Tribolium castaneum: one gene and its partners. The protein of the gene in region 2 interacts with the protein of the main gene of each other region in a biochemical or structural test. Links are inferred from orthologs where the notes say so. Each region holds a gene or a part of one and is shown on either strand. Other genes may lie near its edges.

Evidence for each region.
Region 1: the proteins of csul (region 2) and icln form a complex in vitro, tested with the Homo sapiens proteins (5 studies listed by BioGRID and IntAct, with this or other methods). The link is inferred for Tribolium castaneum from reciprocal best matches to the Homo sapiens genes PRMT5 and CLNS1A.
Region 3: the proteins of csul (region 2) and RIOK1 are reported together in a solved structure, tested with the Homo sapiens proteins (2 studies listed by BioGRID, with this or other methods). The link is inferred for Tribolium castaneum from reciprocal best matches to the Homo sapiens genes PRMT5 and RIOK1.

What each region holds. Positions count from the first base shown.
Region 1 is NC_087394.1:28,288,620-28,292,323, reverse strand, and holds icln (methylosome subunit pICln), read left to right. Parts: upstream 1-1,651; 5' UTR 1,652-1,667; coding exon 1,668-1,786; intron 1,787-1,838; coding exon 1,839-1,981; intron 1,982-2,030; coding exon 2,031-2,374; 3' UTR 2,375-2,444; downstream 2,445-3,704. Other genes in the region: uncharacterized protein LOC103312536, read left to right, coding at 368-484; transcription initiation protein SPT3 homolog, read right to left, coding at 536-1,429; Upf2 (regulator of nonsense transcripts 2), read right to left, coding at 2,621-3,186, 3,234-3,407, 3,454-3,681. UniProt on the Homo sapiens protein: Involved in both the assembly of spliceosomal snRNPs and the methylation of Sm proteins.
Region 2 is NC_087394.1:22,619,593-22,624,769, reverse strand, and holds the start of csul (protein arginine N-methyltransferase 5), read left to right. Parts: upstream 1-1,851; 5' UTR 1,852-1,989; intron 1,990-2,142; 5' UTR 2,143-2,149; coding exon 2,150-2,405; intron 2,406-2,454; coding exon 2,455-3,076; intron 3,077-5,177. UniProt on the Homo sapiens protein: Arginine methyltransferase that can both catalyze the formation of omega-N monomethylarginine (MMA) and symmetrical dimethylarginine (sDMA), with a preference for the formation of MMA.
Region 3 is NC_087402.1:314,427-319,087, forward strand, and holds RIOK1 (serine/threonine-protein kinase RIO1), read right to left. Parts: upstream 2,913-4,661; coding exon 1,785-2,912; intron 1,656-1,784; coding exon 1,278-1,655; 3' UTR 1,272-1,277; downstream 1-1,271. Other genes in the region: nonsense-mediated mRNA decay factor SMG9, read left to right, coding at 1-998, 1,078-1,271; Dbp45A (probable ATP-dependent RNA helicase DDX49), read left to right, coding at 3,196-3,262, 3,306-4,008, 4,103-4,458, 4,506-4,661. UniProt on the Homo sapiens protein: Involved in the final steps of cytoplasmic maturation of the 40S ribosomal subunit. Involved in processing of 18S-E pre-rRNA to the mature 18S rRNA. Required for the recycling of NOB1 and PNO1 from the late 40S precursor.

The DNA.
Region 1 (3,704 bases), about 5.7 Mb from region 2:
TGGGAAGTTGGGAACCTGATAATGTCTCCCTATTTAAACATTTTTTAAATTACGTACAAAAAAGTACAAATGACGATAAAACACACCAAAGTTAAGTAATTTAAATTATATGTTAAAATAAATGCCTTACACAATTTAACCATAGGCAAAAACATCTGATAAACATTAAAGAATTTTGAAGAAAGTATTAAAATTTATTTATTTTAAAAATACATAAACACATTAAAATATTGCACGGTTAGCAGTGACTTTAGCTCTAAGATTAGTTTCGAAAAAGCACAATTAATAAAAACATTAGCACAACAATCCAAATTATAAAAAATAAGTGAGAGGCTAACTTGACTGACCCCAATACCTTTGTTTTCAGAGTTTGGCGAGAGAAATTATAACATCGGTTGCTTCAATATCATCTTGCATAATCTCTATTTTTTTCGTAAAAAATTTGTCGAGAATGGATTCGCTGCACATAAATTTTGCAGCGTAATATTTGGATAAATAAAAGACCGTTTAAAAAATTAAACTTTATTAGAACAAATTACAGAGCAAATAGATAATGCGTGTCTGGTAGTTTTCCCCCGAAATTCAGCTTCCCTGCTTGCGGACAGTGAATTCTTCTCATAACTTCTTTAATTTCATTGACACTAATGGGGGGCTGTCCACTGTAAACCCTGCTATAGTCTGGATTGTTACCACTAGCCCCTATCCTATAATCCCCATTAAACATCGTAGAAGTGTAGTAATTGCCGTATAAATGATTCAGTGGATCACTCCCACATTTGCCCTCCATCCTCACAAGCAACGCATAATCGGTTATCTCAGCAACTGTCTGGTACCCCAAATACGACAAAACCACCATAGCATTAGTGCTGAAATTAATTTCCTTTTTCGGGTCAATCCACTGTCTTAATTTTTCGGAGTTTCGGGCCGTGATATCTCTACTGCAAAACGAGGTGGCTCTCGCTTTGCAAAACTCCAAATACCTCTTCTCGTCCAGGGCTTGAGATATGCGATCAGCCCTCAGCATCCTCGACTGTTTGACTTCATCAACTTCGGATAAATCGGTGAATTCTCCCGTCTCGTCTATGTACTCGATAAACTTCATTAGCTCGTTCTTCGGTATGGGATCTCTGTCAATTTCAATGACCCCCGAGTTCAACGACTGGAGTTGCTGTTTGAGTTGCTTGTTTTTCAAATATTGGAAAAAGCGGCGCATTTTGTGCTTATTGTGCCGCATTAGGAACACCAACTCCTTGCCTTTGAGGTTCTTACCATCGGAGTACTTCAGCGCTTCCTGGACGATCATGCGGAGCTGCTTCAACACGATGCTCTCCACCAAACGCACCGTCTCGGGGTTCGGCTTGTGGCTGTCGCCGAACCCAAACATCATCAGCGAGATTTCGTTACAAAAGGTTGTTTTTTGGGAATCCATCAGTTTTTGTCAACAAACACCTAACCTCAATTGACAACAAATATTTTCCCCACAGAATAACAGGTTTTTTTCCCCAATCAAACACAGCCGGTTCAAAATACCAGCCCGTGATTGGTCCTTAGCTCACAACGCCGCCAAAAGAAAATAAAAATCCCCAAGTTAAACGTCAAGCGCCATAGTTTGTGGTTACAATAATTTTGAAAAATAAACACGTTTTGCGAAAAAAAGTGGAGGAAGAATGGTTGTGGTCACGTCGTTTAAACCACCAGAATCTCCTATAAGACTCGAGCAGTCAAACGTTGTGGTGATTTTGGATAAACGTGATCTGGGCACCGGAACCCTATTTGTGAGCGAAAGGTAACACAATTATGGCAAAACCAAACGAAAAATACATTGTGTTAAATTACAGGACACTCAGTTGGCAAAAAGACGGGACTACGGGTTTTTCAATTGAATATTACAACGTCTCGCTCCATGCGGTGTCCAAAGACCCCAACGTGTGCGAGAGGGAGTGTATTTATATTTTGACTGACCCCCACATAAATTTGTTTGGTTTGTAATTTTTTGCGCAAAATTTGGTTTATTGTGCGTCGTTTTGTAGGAGAAACTGACCAAAGGCCCGCAAATGATGACAGTGACGTTGAGTCAGAGCCAGACCTCTCGGAGCTGATTTTAGCCCCCGAAAACCCCACACATGTACAAAGTATTTACGAGGCTATAAAAATTTGCCAAGAACTCAATCCCGATCCTGCCGATGTTGACGACGAGGACGATGATAATTTATTCGCGGACGCAGAAGAAGAAATGTTTATAGAAGCAGAGTCTGAGCAGATTGGGGACGCAGTTGTCGACAGTTTGGCCGAAAGGCTACAAAACAACTCAGTCGACGTCCAGTACAGCTACCGGAATGGCAACGAGGATGAGGATTTTGAAGATGCAGACTGATCCCTGAATTATGTTAGGTTTTGTATCTTTAATTTTAATCCATTTTTTATAAAACACTGACTAGTGAAAAGGTTTTATTCCAACAGAAAACAATGTTGAACGAAACAAAAAATGAAATTCCTTGCTTCTCCTTCACAATTCTCAATTCCGATAGACTAAAAACGAAACAATCTATCTATTTCTGAAACATTCTGAACTTCTTTGACCCTTAATCGTATTCAACCATTTCATCCTGAATTCCTCCCATTATCTAACTCTCTTAGGTCCAAAAATCAGGTCGGCGTCGGGCGCCCCCTTGGGGTGCTGGTATTTCTTGCGTTCGCGGTTCAAGTTTTGGGTCACGGGCCTGTTCTGCTGCTGCATCATGTCTTGATAATCCTCCTCTTCAAACCGTTCCGTGATGTTCAGCGTCAAGCGCTTCACTCGTTCCTTCTCCTCCTTCTGAGCCAACTCCTGGTCCCTCAGATTCTGAGCGAGTTCGGAGTTGATATCAGCCTCGAAATTTTTATATTGCTGCTTGTTTCCTTTGCGGACCATTAGCACGAACCCGATTTTGTTGGGTTCCGTTTCAGGGGCGTCCTGCAACTGCTCGTAGGTCTTTTTGTTCGATTTGAGGACAACCGGAACGGAAATGTCCACGTTTCCGGCCTTCACCGGCTCGCGCATCCGCTCTTGGATGTTCTCCGAAACCATTTTATCCAAAGCGTTTAAAAAGTCCTCGTCCTCGGGGCACTCGACCTTGCGGGGGCCACTGGGAATTGCCAGCGATTCGGACACTTGTTCTTGCTCAGCTTCGCTAACATCGGGTTCCCCTAAAAAATAATTAAAAAAATTGGAAGATTTTAAAAGTGAGACGGACCTTCATCGTCCGAGCCTTGTGTGTGGTCCACCGTTTCGTCCTCAGTGGCGGTATCATCAGTAATAGGTGCCGTGACTTCGGACACTTCGTCCTGTTCTTCAGTGTCGGTTTCAGCGATCGTTTCCAGGCCGTCTTCCTCAACTTTATTTTCGTTCAAATCTCCAGTGATTTTATCTAATTGACTTAGTTTTATTTCGGGATTTTTTAAAACAAAGCTTACCAAAGCCCAAAGTGACGCGAATATTATTTAACTCGGTTTGTGTTTCTTCGTAGCTTTGACACAATTTAATTTTTGGTCTCAGGGTCGTGAGAGTGTCTTTAAAAATGTGCTCCAGTGTTGGAGGAAATGCATCTTTCCACAAGTCGCGCTTGAACCAATAATACGATTGCAGAAATATTAAATAATAGTCTAGTCTCCTCTTACTGCTACCGCTGCTGAAATACGTGCCTACAAGTTGAAATTGGCCTAAA
Region 2 (5,177 bases):
TACCGGAAATACGAGCATCGCCTTCATCGTCGTACTTTTAGTGGGCAGGTACCACTTTTTGGGAGGGGCCTTTCGACCGGAAGCGATTTTTCCTCATGCGTGCAATACATAATTACAACAATATTTATTATCTGTCATAAACACACGCCGCGATAGTTTTGTATGTTAATACATTCCGCGTTTCATTTTCCTAATTAAGCACCAAACCAAACAAAAAATAAACCTTCCCCCTCGAATTATTTACACAAAATCAATAGAATACATATTTCGGGGTAGCGCATTTTTCGCACTGATTATAAATCCACCAATAAAAAGTGAGTATTCCTATCAATATGGCGATCGAACACTTCAGAACATAACAAGCTGGGGTGACGCTACAATACACCCTGATTCCACCCTCGCTCACCCTAGCAATGATGGCCGGTGCGCTCGGCCAGGGGTGCCGAGGGCGTATCCCTCCGACCATCCCTCCCATATCGGGGGCGGAGTCCGATGGTAAAACGATCCGAAAACGCTTTTCTGTACACCTTCGCATTTAATATGTACAGTTGGCAACACTTATCTGATGCCGTGCTGCATGAATACGTACAAATGATGGTTTAATGGAAAATATACGCTTATCTTTGAGGCTTTTGTATATGAGAAAGGCACGCTCGTTTTTCATGGATACACTTCGAGACATATTTGCTTTTGTAAAGTACGTACACCGACGGCCTGATTAAATGTCGCACGAAGCCCGCGGTTAATTAACGCGAGGTCACGTGGTAAGTCACGAGGGCCAGCACGTGATCGCAGACACGCATCGATTGGTCGATGGGAAGGCGCACCACGATCCTCGTTTGTTTTAGTTCCGGTTGGGAATTTTTTCGCGATTGGTGAAGACGTCACGGGTCACTACTCAATTTTAATAACGCCACTCGATTTAAAACACGAACAACTGAACGAAAACTTAATTTAAATTTTGATTGGAAAAAATATGTAAAAGCATTATTATTTATTGCACAATAGCGACACAGCCACTCACTTAAGAGAAATTCTTCAGTAAAGAAATATAACACGAGGCTGGGAAAACTTAAAAGACGAACCTGTATATGAAATTAAAAGTTAATGTCTACCAATATTTTTTATTAAAAGTTAAAAAAGTGAGCTATCTTAATACTTATTTGGTGTTTAATACACGTGTATATTATTATAACTTATATGGTAGCGCTCAGCTCCGTTTGCGTGTGCGTCATCTGACATTTCTGTCACTACGTTTACATAGCAGGGGCATAGCGGTGACAAACTATCAAATATTTTTTGAGGTTACGAAGTGTTTAAATTATGAGTTGTTACAAAAAATACAGATTTACAAAACAAGAACTAATAAACGCAGAATCAAAAACCTAACGAAACGCAAATCACAAAACACAATAAACGAACAGAAAATACTTGCGATTAACACCGATAACACTTTCGACAACCATGCGACGACGTCTATAATTTACTGTCAATGTCAGTTTGACAAATTCGTGACACTTGACGGTGTTGTCGAAGTGCACATGTAAATTAATGTTCAAGGATACCACCCTTAGATAGCCCTTAGCTGTTTAAATTTGCATTGTTTTTGAGAATTTTTTATAGCTTTGTGTTGGTAATGAAAAAATGAAATTGATGACGCACACGCAAATCGAGCTGACCGCCACTATAACATTATAAATAACGTTGAAATAATAAATATAAATAATAAAATAATAATAAAATATAAATAAATAACTGTGAAATTATTTTTTCACAGTATTAGCTACAAACTTCTTGTACAAAAAAATAATAATTAAAAAACGTTATAAATGAAAAAAAAAAAGAAATCCAAACCCTAAAAGTTTAAAAATATAATCCTTTATGTTGGCAGTGGTAATAATAGCATGTTGTTGGCACTGCTTCCGGATTCCTGGAACTGTCAATTTTTATTTTGACAGCGTTGTTTGAAAAATAGTGGTAATTCAAACGGTAAGCTCAATTTTCAATAACACTTGCCTCCTAAACCCCCAATATTACTCCGTTATTACATTTTTGGCGTTTTTGCCACGTTTTTTTACGAATTTTGTCGTAAAAAACGCACACTTGACATTTGACATAACCTCAATCCACAACATGTTTTAGCCCCAAAATGAGCGTGGAATCTCAATACTACCCAGACGGAGACAATGAAAAACGCAAGCGAATGTCAACCGGTCTCCAAGTGAACTGCCCCCACAGTCTTAGGCTAGCAATCCAGTCAGCTTATGAATACGGTTACCATTTTCTAGTAACTCAAATAACGCACCCCAACTACGCTCGCGACCTCCTCCACGGGAAGCCCCCGCCGGCAATCGGTCGTACAGACCGCATCTTGCAAAGTCTTGAATGGGGGCGCTATATCGTCGGTAGGTTTTAGCCCCAAACTGCAAAAATCGCTAATTTGAACAATTTAAGCTGAACTCACTCCCACCATCAACGTGGACAGCGAAATTGAACACGTGCAAAGGAAAAGCAAAGCCCTGTTCTTGCAAGAGTTAGGTTTTGCGGTTCATTTGGGGGTTCCCGTGATAAAATTTTCCCTAACTAAGCGACACAACGCACAGTTGGGGCGCCTCATCAATGAGAAACTCGTGAACGGGTTTACGTCCAGTTTTTGGGTTACGCTCCCCATGGTGCACCCGTCACAATTTAGCCCCATTTGCACCGAAGATGAGAAGGAGGATTCTTGGGAGTGGTGGAACGATTTTCGCACTTATTGTAATTACGATAAGCACGTAGGTCTAGTTTTGGAGTTGCCTGAAATTGCACATATTCCTTCACAAAGTGAGGTCAATAGGTGGATTGGGGAGCCCGTCAAAGCGCTAATTATCCCCACGACTTACTTTATTTTAAATAATCACGGAAAGCCTGTCTTACCACGCGCCCACCAGGACATAATTCAGCGCTTTCTAACCATAGACGTCCAATACATCATCAAATCGGACTCTGAGACCGACCTGTCTCTCTACACTAAATATCTACACTTCTTGGGGAAAAAGCTATACGTTGGTGACCCCAATCTTGAATTTATCCAAGGGTAAGTCGATTAAGGTTGAACTACGAGTATACTAGGAACGTCTAAAGCTCCAGCTGTTATAACAAGCGCGTGAACGCAAAATTTGAAATTGATTTTTTATGAAAAGCATTGAAACAAAATAGTTTGCCTATAATTAGGGATAATACCTAAGTTAAATCATTACATATTTGTCACTGAGTGTAAATGGGTAAAAACTCAACAGATTTATTTTTATATAAAAATGAAAGATCACATTGCATGAAAAAAATTCATAACTTTCTGAGAATCTTTGCAACAATACGGGCTGATTCGTTTAGGCCCAATTATCAAATTATCACAGCTCTTGAATCCTTTTCAGTAAGTGAATGTTTTTTTTGCATTTGTTAACCAAAGATTCGAAGGGTCTTCTAAAATCTTTAGGATTGCCAATTGTCAAATTGCAAGGCTAAAATGATCATAATTCTGTTTTTTCAATGGCAATCAAAAGGACATTGATTTTTATGGCGATTTCAACATTTCTATATCTATCAGGAATCTTAGCTCGTTATTTTAATTTTTAATCGAGTAAAATTTTGCTATTAATTAAAAGAAATGTTCAATATGTCCACCATTTTCATTTAAGAAGTTCAAAATTATATGACTGTATGTACTTAACATAACTAAGTAAAATAAACTATAATTAAATATTATTGGTTTACTCCTTACTACGTAAATGAACCAGCTAAACACTAAATAAAGTTTTGAAGTTGACAATTTTGTTTTTGTTTTTTTTTTTGTTGACTATTTTACAAAGCCTACTTGATTAAGGATGAAGAATTAAAAAATACAATCCGTTTTTTGTGATTATTTTAAAAACCGTAAGAGACAGGAATAGGACGTGTTTATAAAAGTCACCATAAGTGTCGATGTTCTTTCGAATGTCGTTAAGAAAATAGGGTAATTCTATTTGAAAAAAACTGAGTTATAGCCGTTTTTTGATAACTATTTTGAAAAAGTCATACTAGCCTTGAATGTTGACATTTGATAATTTGAAACTTCTAGAAGGTTCTTCAAACCTTGGGTTATTGAATACAAAAAAATTATTGACTTATCGCAAAGGCACTGACAAAAAGTAATATTTTAAGTAAACCTCTGCAAATGAAACTTTTTACAAAAAAAATGATATGTGGCACAAACTATGACTTATTTACCTACAACGTGGGTTGCTCAGCTTGAGTAGGCGGATTCAAAAATGGGATAAAGATGTGTGGTTAGTATTTAAAATTTCAGAGTTGGCGCGAATTTCTTATTGTTCCGGAAGTTTAGCAATTTGAAAATAATTTAGTTGATCTCTGAATGGATCGATTTGGATCGTGAACAAAATTTTAAAGCTCTAGCAATACAAAAAGTTTCTAATATGGGCATTGAAAGGATCACCCTGTAAATATAGATTTGAAAAAAAAACGAGTCATTTAAAAATTATATGAAAAAAAAATTATTTTTGGTCAATTATTTTTTCAGTTCATCGTAGAATTTCAACAGCGCATTTCAAATTTTCGGAGTTAAAAATAAAGCACAAATTGAGAGTTTCTGTAAAAGAAAAGAATTCTCTGGTAAACTAAATCCCAGCGACACGTTTTGAGCTAAGAAAATCCACCAGAAACTGTCAATTTGTGCTCCATTTCACTCCAAAAAATGCAAAATTCTACTATGAACTGAAATGGGATATACAGCGTGCTCAAAAACTGGCGCACCAACTCAATGGTGTGTGGTAGAGAATTGGTAACATATAAAGGTAAAAATAGTAAAAAAATTCTTTGTATTAAAGTTATTGATAAATAATGGATTTTATATAAATGATATGTGGCAACGTTGTCTAGCAGTCATGATCGCAATAGAATTTGAGCAACAATAAAAATAAATTATTTTTGAAACGGTTTCCTAGGATATAATTCCCAGTGTTGGCACATCTACACATTGTGATTTTTTGGATGAATTTTAATTTTTTTAAATTAAAAAAACTGCTAAAATCTGATAGTAAATTTAAAAATAATTATCGTTTTGTTACGGAACGATTACCTGGTATGAAACATAAAAACATAAAAAAATAATGAAAACTAAAGAAGTTAACACAATAAGTTTG
Region 3 (4,661 bases), on a different chromosome or scaffold from region 2:
ATTCGACAAAGAATCGAAGCCCGATAAAGTCAAACAGCCCACGATTTTGCTCAAAGCTCGGGAACACTCTGAGGAGTCGGCGTCCAAACGAGCCCCAAAAGTGGACGAACTTCCAATCACGATTTCCTCGACTGGCTCAGAGACACAATCAGCCCCCACGGTTAAGTCGATGAGCAAGAGTGTCAAGTTTTTGGAAGATTCAGTCTTATTAGAACACCTTCAAGAGTTTGTGCAGGAAAATAGCGATTTTCTGGTCGTGGGGGTTGTGGGGGCCCAAGGGGTGGGAAAATCAACGGTTTTGAATCTTATTGCCCACAATACAGTGAGCGAAGACTTGAAAGAGGCGATTTTTCGCAATTGCGAAGCACGGAACGAGGATTTTTTGAGTGAAAATTTCACCGAAATTAAGCTTGATGAAGAGAAAGTTAAGAGGGAAATTTTTAAAATACAGACGGGGGAAGATGTGGAAAGCAACAGTAATGCCACGAGAGGCATTGACGCGTTTATCACTTCGAATCGTGTGATTTTATTAGACTGTCAACCCTTTATGTCTGTTGCTGTGTTAGACGAATTGGTTCAGAGTGAAAATAAGCGTTCGAATATCGTTAGTGAGTTTATTCCTTTGGAAAACAGTGGAGAAATTCAGGGGTTACAACTAACCGCGTTTTTGATGAGCATTTGTCACGTTTTAATAGTAGTACAGGATTATTTTTTCGATAGTAATGTTGTCCGGTTTTTACAAACTGCCGAAATGTTAAAACCTACACATTCAAACCCTGAGGATGAGCTAAATGACCATTTCCCGCACTTGCTAATGATACACAACAAAGCACAAATGGACGATTTCTCGCCCAGGAAATTCAAAACCATTCAAGAAATTTACAATTTATTGTTTGAAAAAACCAAGCTTCAGAAGGACTCAAATTTGGGGCTGGCTGACGATAATTCCGGCGAACTTTTCAACGTGTTTCTCATCCCGGAATACAATCCCAAATATGGTAATTATTTTTTTTTGTTTAACGAGCAAAATGTTTGCCAAATCGAGTGAGCGCATCTTAAATACTCGATTTATTGCAGATAACATCTACAATGGACACCCGCCTTTGGAAGACCTTGTAAAAAAATTAAGGGCCAATATTTTAGGCGCGATTAAAACGCCCTTAACTCACGTTCAACTGACTGAAAAAACGTGGCTTGTGTACTGTTCAAAAGTATGGGAAAATGTAAAAAAGAGTTCGTTTTTTATCGAATACACTAAACTAATGCCATGAAATAATTTATTTCTTTGAAACCTTCTCTTTCCGTTTTTTGACATGTTTTTTGATTTTTGTTGTCCTTTTGGCAGCTTGTGCCTCTTTGACTGCTTTTTTCCGCGCTTTTTTCTCATCGAGTGTTTCATGTTTGGGTCTTGAAGAGTCAACAAAATTACTACCAGTGTCTTCTTCACTTTCTGAATTTTCTTCAGATGATTCTTTTTCATCCAAAATCTCGGGATGTTGCACAGTTCCACTCAAATCGGCCTTTAAACCGACCAAAGTTTTGTAAACTAAATCGTCAGCTAAACCCGATTTAACTCGAGTTATGTCTCGCTCGAAATCAATCACTTCAGTCAGGCGTTTAGGGATGTAAGCCTGCTTAAACACCTCTTCCTCCACCTGTAATGGAACACCAAAAAAATTTCGTTACTACTAACAAAAAAATACGACAGCATTTTTTTTTTCTAAACTCACTCTGGCAAAGTTTTATGGAATTTTTTGTACTTGTAATTGAGAAAATAATTTTACCTGTTCCTCTGACGTGACTTCGGTGTGTTGAGCCGCTTTCTCAGCCAACGCCTCAAGACACTCCTCCATATTCCCCTCATTTATCGTCGGATCAGTGATAAAATGAAACAAATCCTTGATACCCATAGTCGCAACTTCCTTCTTTTTGAAAAAATCTGTGATATTTGTACAATCCTTCCGCAAAAACTCCAACGCGTGAGGATGGTCATGTTCTACAGATTGTGACACATCGATAACGAAAATTTCGCCATTCAAATAAAGCATGTTGAACTCGGACAAGTCGGCATGTACTAATTTACACTTATTGTACATTTTCCACATGATTATAACCACGTCTCTGTAGATTTCACGCGCTTTTGACTGACTTAAATCCACGTCTTTTAATTTCGGAGCAGGCCAACCCTCTCGACCAATAAACCCCATTAGTAAGACATGCGAACGCAGCAAAATGGGTTCAGGGACATTCAAACCGTTCGAATGCATGCGAATTAAATTCCTCATTTCTTTTTCGGCCCACGTTCGTACCATTTTTCGCGGATTATGTCGACAATAACCGTGTCTGAATCTAAACTCGCCACTAACGTATTTATCGCGATCTTTGAAAACGAGAATCGAGGTCTTGTAAATTTTAATCGCAACCTGGCCCTTATCACTCGTTGCGTGATAAACATTTGCCTCTTTTCCCGTTGAAATACAACCGTTTATTTCGGAAATTACGTTCCGGTTTAATAATTTAAATAAAATCATTCGGGTTCGTGGATCCATGACTTGTTCAGCGGTGGCACGGTCGTGTTTGTCCTTGTGCCGTATTTTCTCATTTTCTTGCCGTTTTTCATTGGCTATGAGCAAATTTGTGGCATGAGGGGGCAAAGCCCGGTCATACGCCTCAACGTTGATTTTGTTGGTGTATTTTTTGAATAAACTGTCGGGGGGTTGGTACGAACTGACTTTTTTTGACGACACTTGGGGGTTCCTCTGGTTTTTGCCCGAAATTGAGTAAAAATCGTCATCTTCACTTTCGTAACTATCTTCATCAAGGGTCAAATTCTCGGTTACGGGGGCCAGAATATCGTCTTCAGCGTCCCGAAAAAGCTCGTCTTCACTCAAAAAATCGTCCGGTGTGGTCATAATTACACAAATAAACGTGCAAAAACTCTGAGGTTATATTGAATTGTCACACGTGTGAACTCGAGTGGCCTTCAGCCCGAACTAATTTCCGTGTTATTGCACAACTTGACCCAATTTATCCCAGCAGTTGGTCAAAAATTTGCAAAAAAATATCCAAAACTCTAGTAAAAACCTAACACTTTGCCCAAAAATCGTAAAAAACGATTCGGTCGTGTACACAATCGGTCGCAATGTCGGGGAACCTAACCCCTCTGAATATTAAGTTTGTGTTTTTCGCGTAATAATGACCGAGAAATCGTTCGACAAGCTCCAGTTGAACCCTTGGATCATTCGCCAGTGCGCCACTATAGGTATGAGCCCCCTTTTGCTTCGTAAATTAATTTTGGGGTACAGGTGTGCGCAGCCCTACACCCATCCAGACCAACTGTATTCCCCCAATTCTCGCCGGTAGGGACTGTATCGGGGCTGCTAAAACCGGCAGTGGCAAAACCCTAGCATTTGCCTTGCCCATTCTCCAGAAATTATGCGAGGATCCTTACGGTATTTTCGCTCTTATTTTAACCCCCACACGAGAACTGGCGTTTCAAATCGCTGATCAGTTTGCAGTCATTGGCAAAGTGATGAATTTGCGCCATTGTGTCATTGTGGGGGGTATGGATATGGTGGTTCAGGGCAAAGACTTAGCCCGAAAACCCCACATTGTGGTGGCAACGCCTGGCCGCTTAGCTGACCATTTAGAAAGTTGCAACACGTTTAATTTTAATAAATTGAGGTTTTTGGTGCTTGATGAGGCCGATCGTTTGTTAGGGGGGCACTTTGACGAACAAATCAAAACGATTTTTCAAGCATTGCCTAAGGAGCGCCAAAATTTATTTTTCTCAGCCACGATCACCGATACTTTAGAAAAACTGAAAGATGTGACAGGGAAAGATGTTTTTTTCTATGAAGCCCCGGCTGAAGTAGCAACTGTTGAACAATTGGAACAAAACTATGTATTGTGCCCCAAAGATGTGAAAGACGCTTATTTGGTTGAGACAATTAGGACGTATCGTGCTACAAATGACGGAAATATCCTTATTTTCACTAACACTTGCAAGTAAAATAATTGGTCTAGAGTTTGAAATTAAGTTGGCAATACTATTTTTGCCAACTTGATTTCGTAGTCGTAGACTAAGTAGGATTTATTGTAGGAATTGTCAAGTGTTGTCAATGACTTTAAATGAGGTCGGTTTTGAAAATGTGGCCCTTCATGCCATGATGAAACAACAACAGAGATTAGCAGCTTTGGCTAAATTTAAATCAAACACAATTAAAATTCTTCTAGCCACTGATGTTGCAAGTAGAGGTCTTGATATTCCCACCGTTCAATTAGTAATTAATCACAATATTCCTAAAATACCGAAGGAATACATACATAGGGTTGGTAGAACTGCCAGGGCTGGGAGAAACGGCAAAGCGATAAGTTTGGTCACCCCTTACGACATCAAATTGTTACAAGCGATCGAACAACACATTAATACGAAATTAACTGAATTTAAATTGGACGGTAATTGTTTATTTTAGTGAGGTTTTTTAGTTTATTTTGAATTATAGATAGCGAAGTTGGTAAAATTTTCACGCAAATTTCGGTAACCAAAAGCGAGGCTTATATTAAACTCGACGAACAAGATTTTTACGAAAAGAAAATGATAAATAAGAGGAAAAAGTGGATGATGGAAGGGCTTGATCCAGACGAGGAAGAAGAAAAAT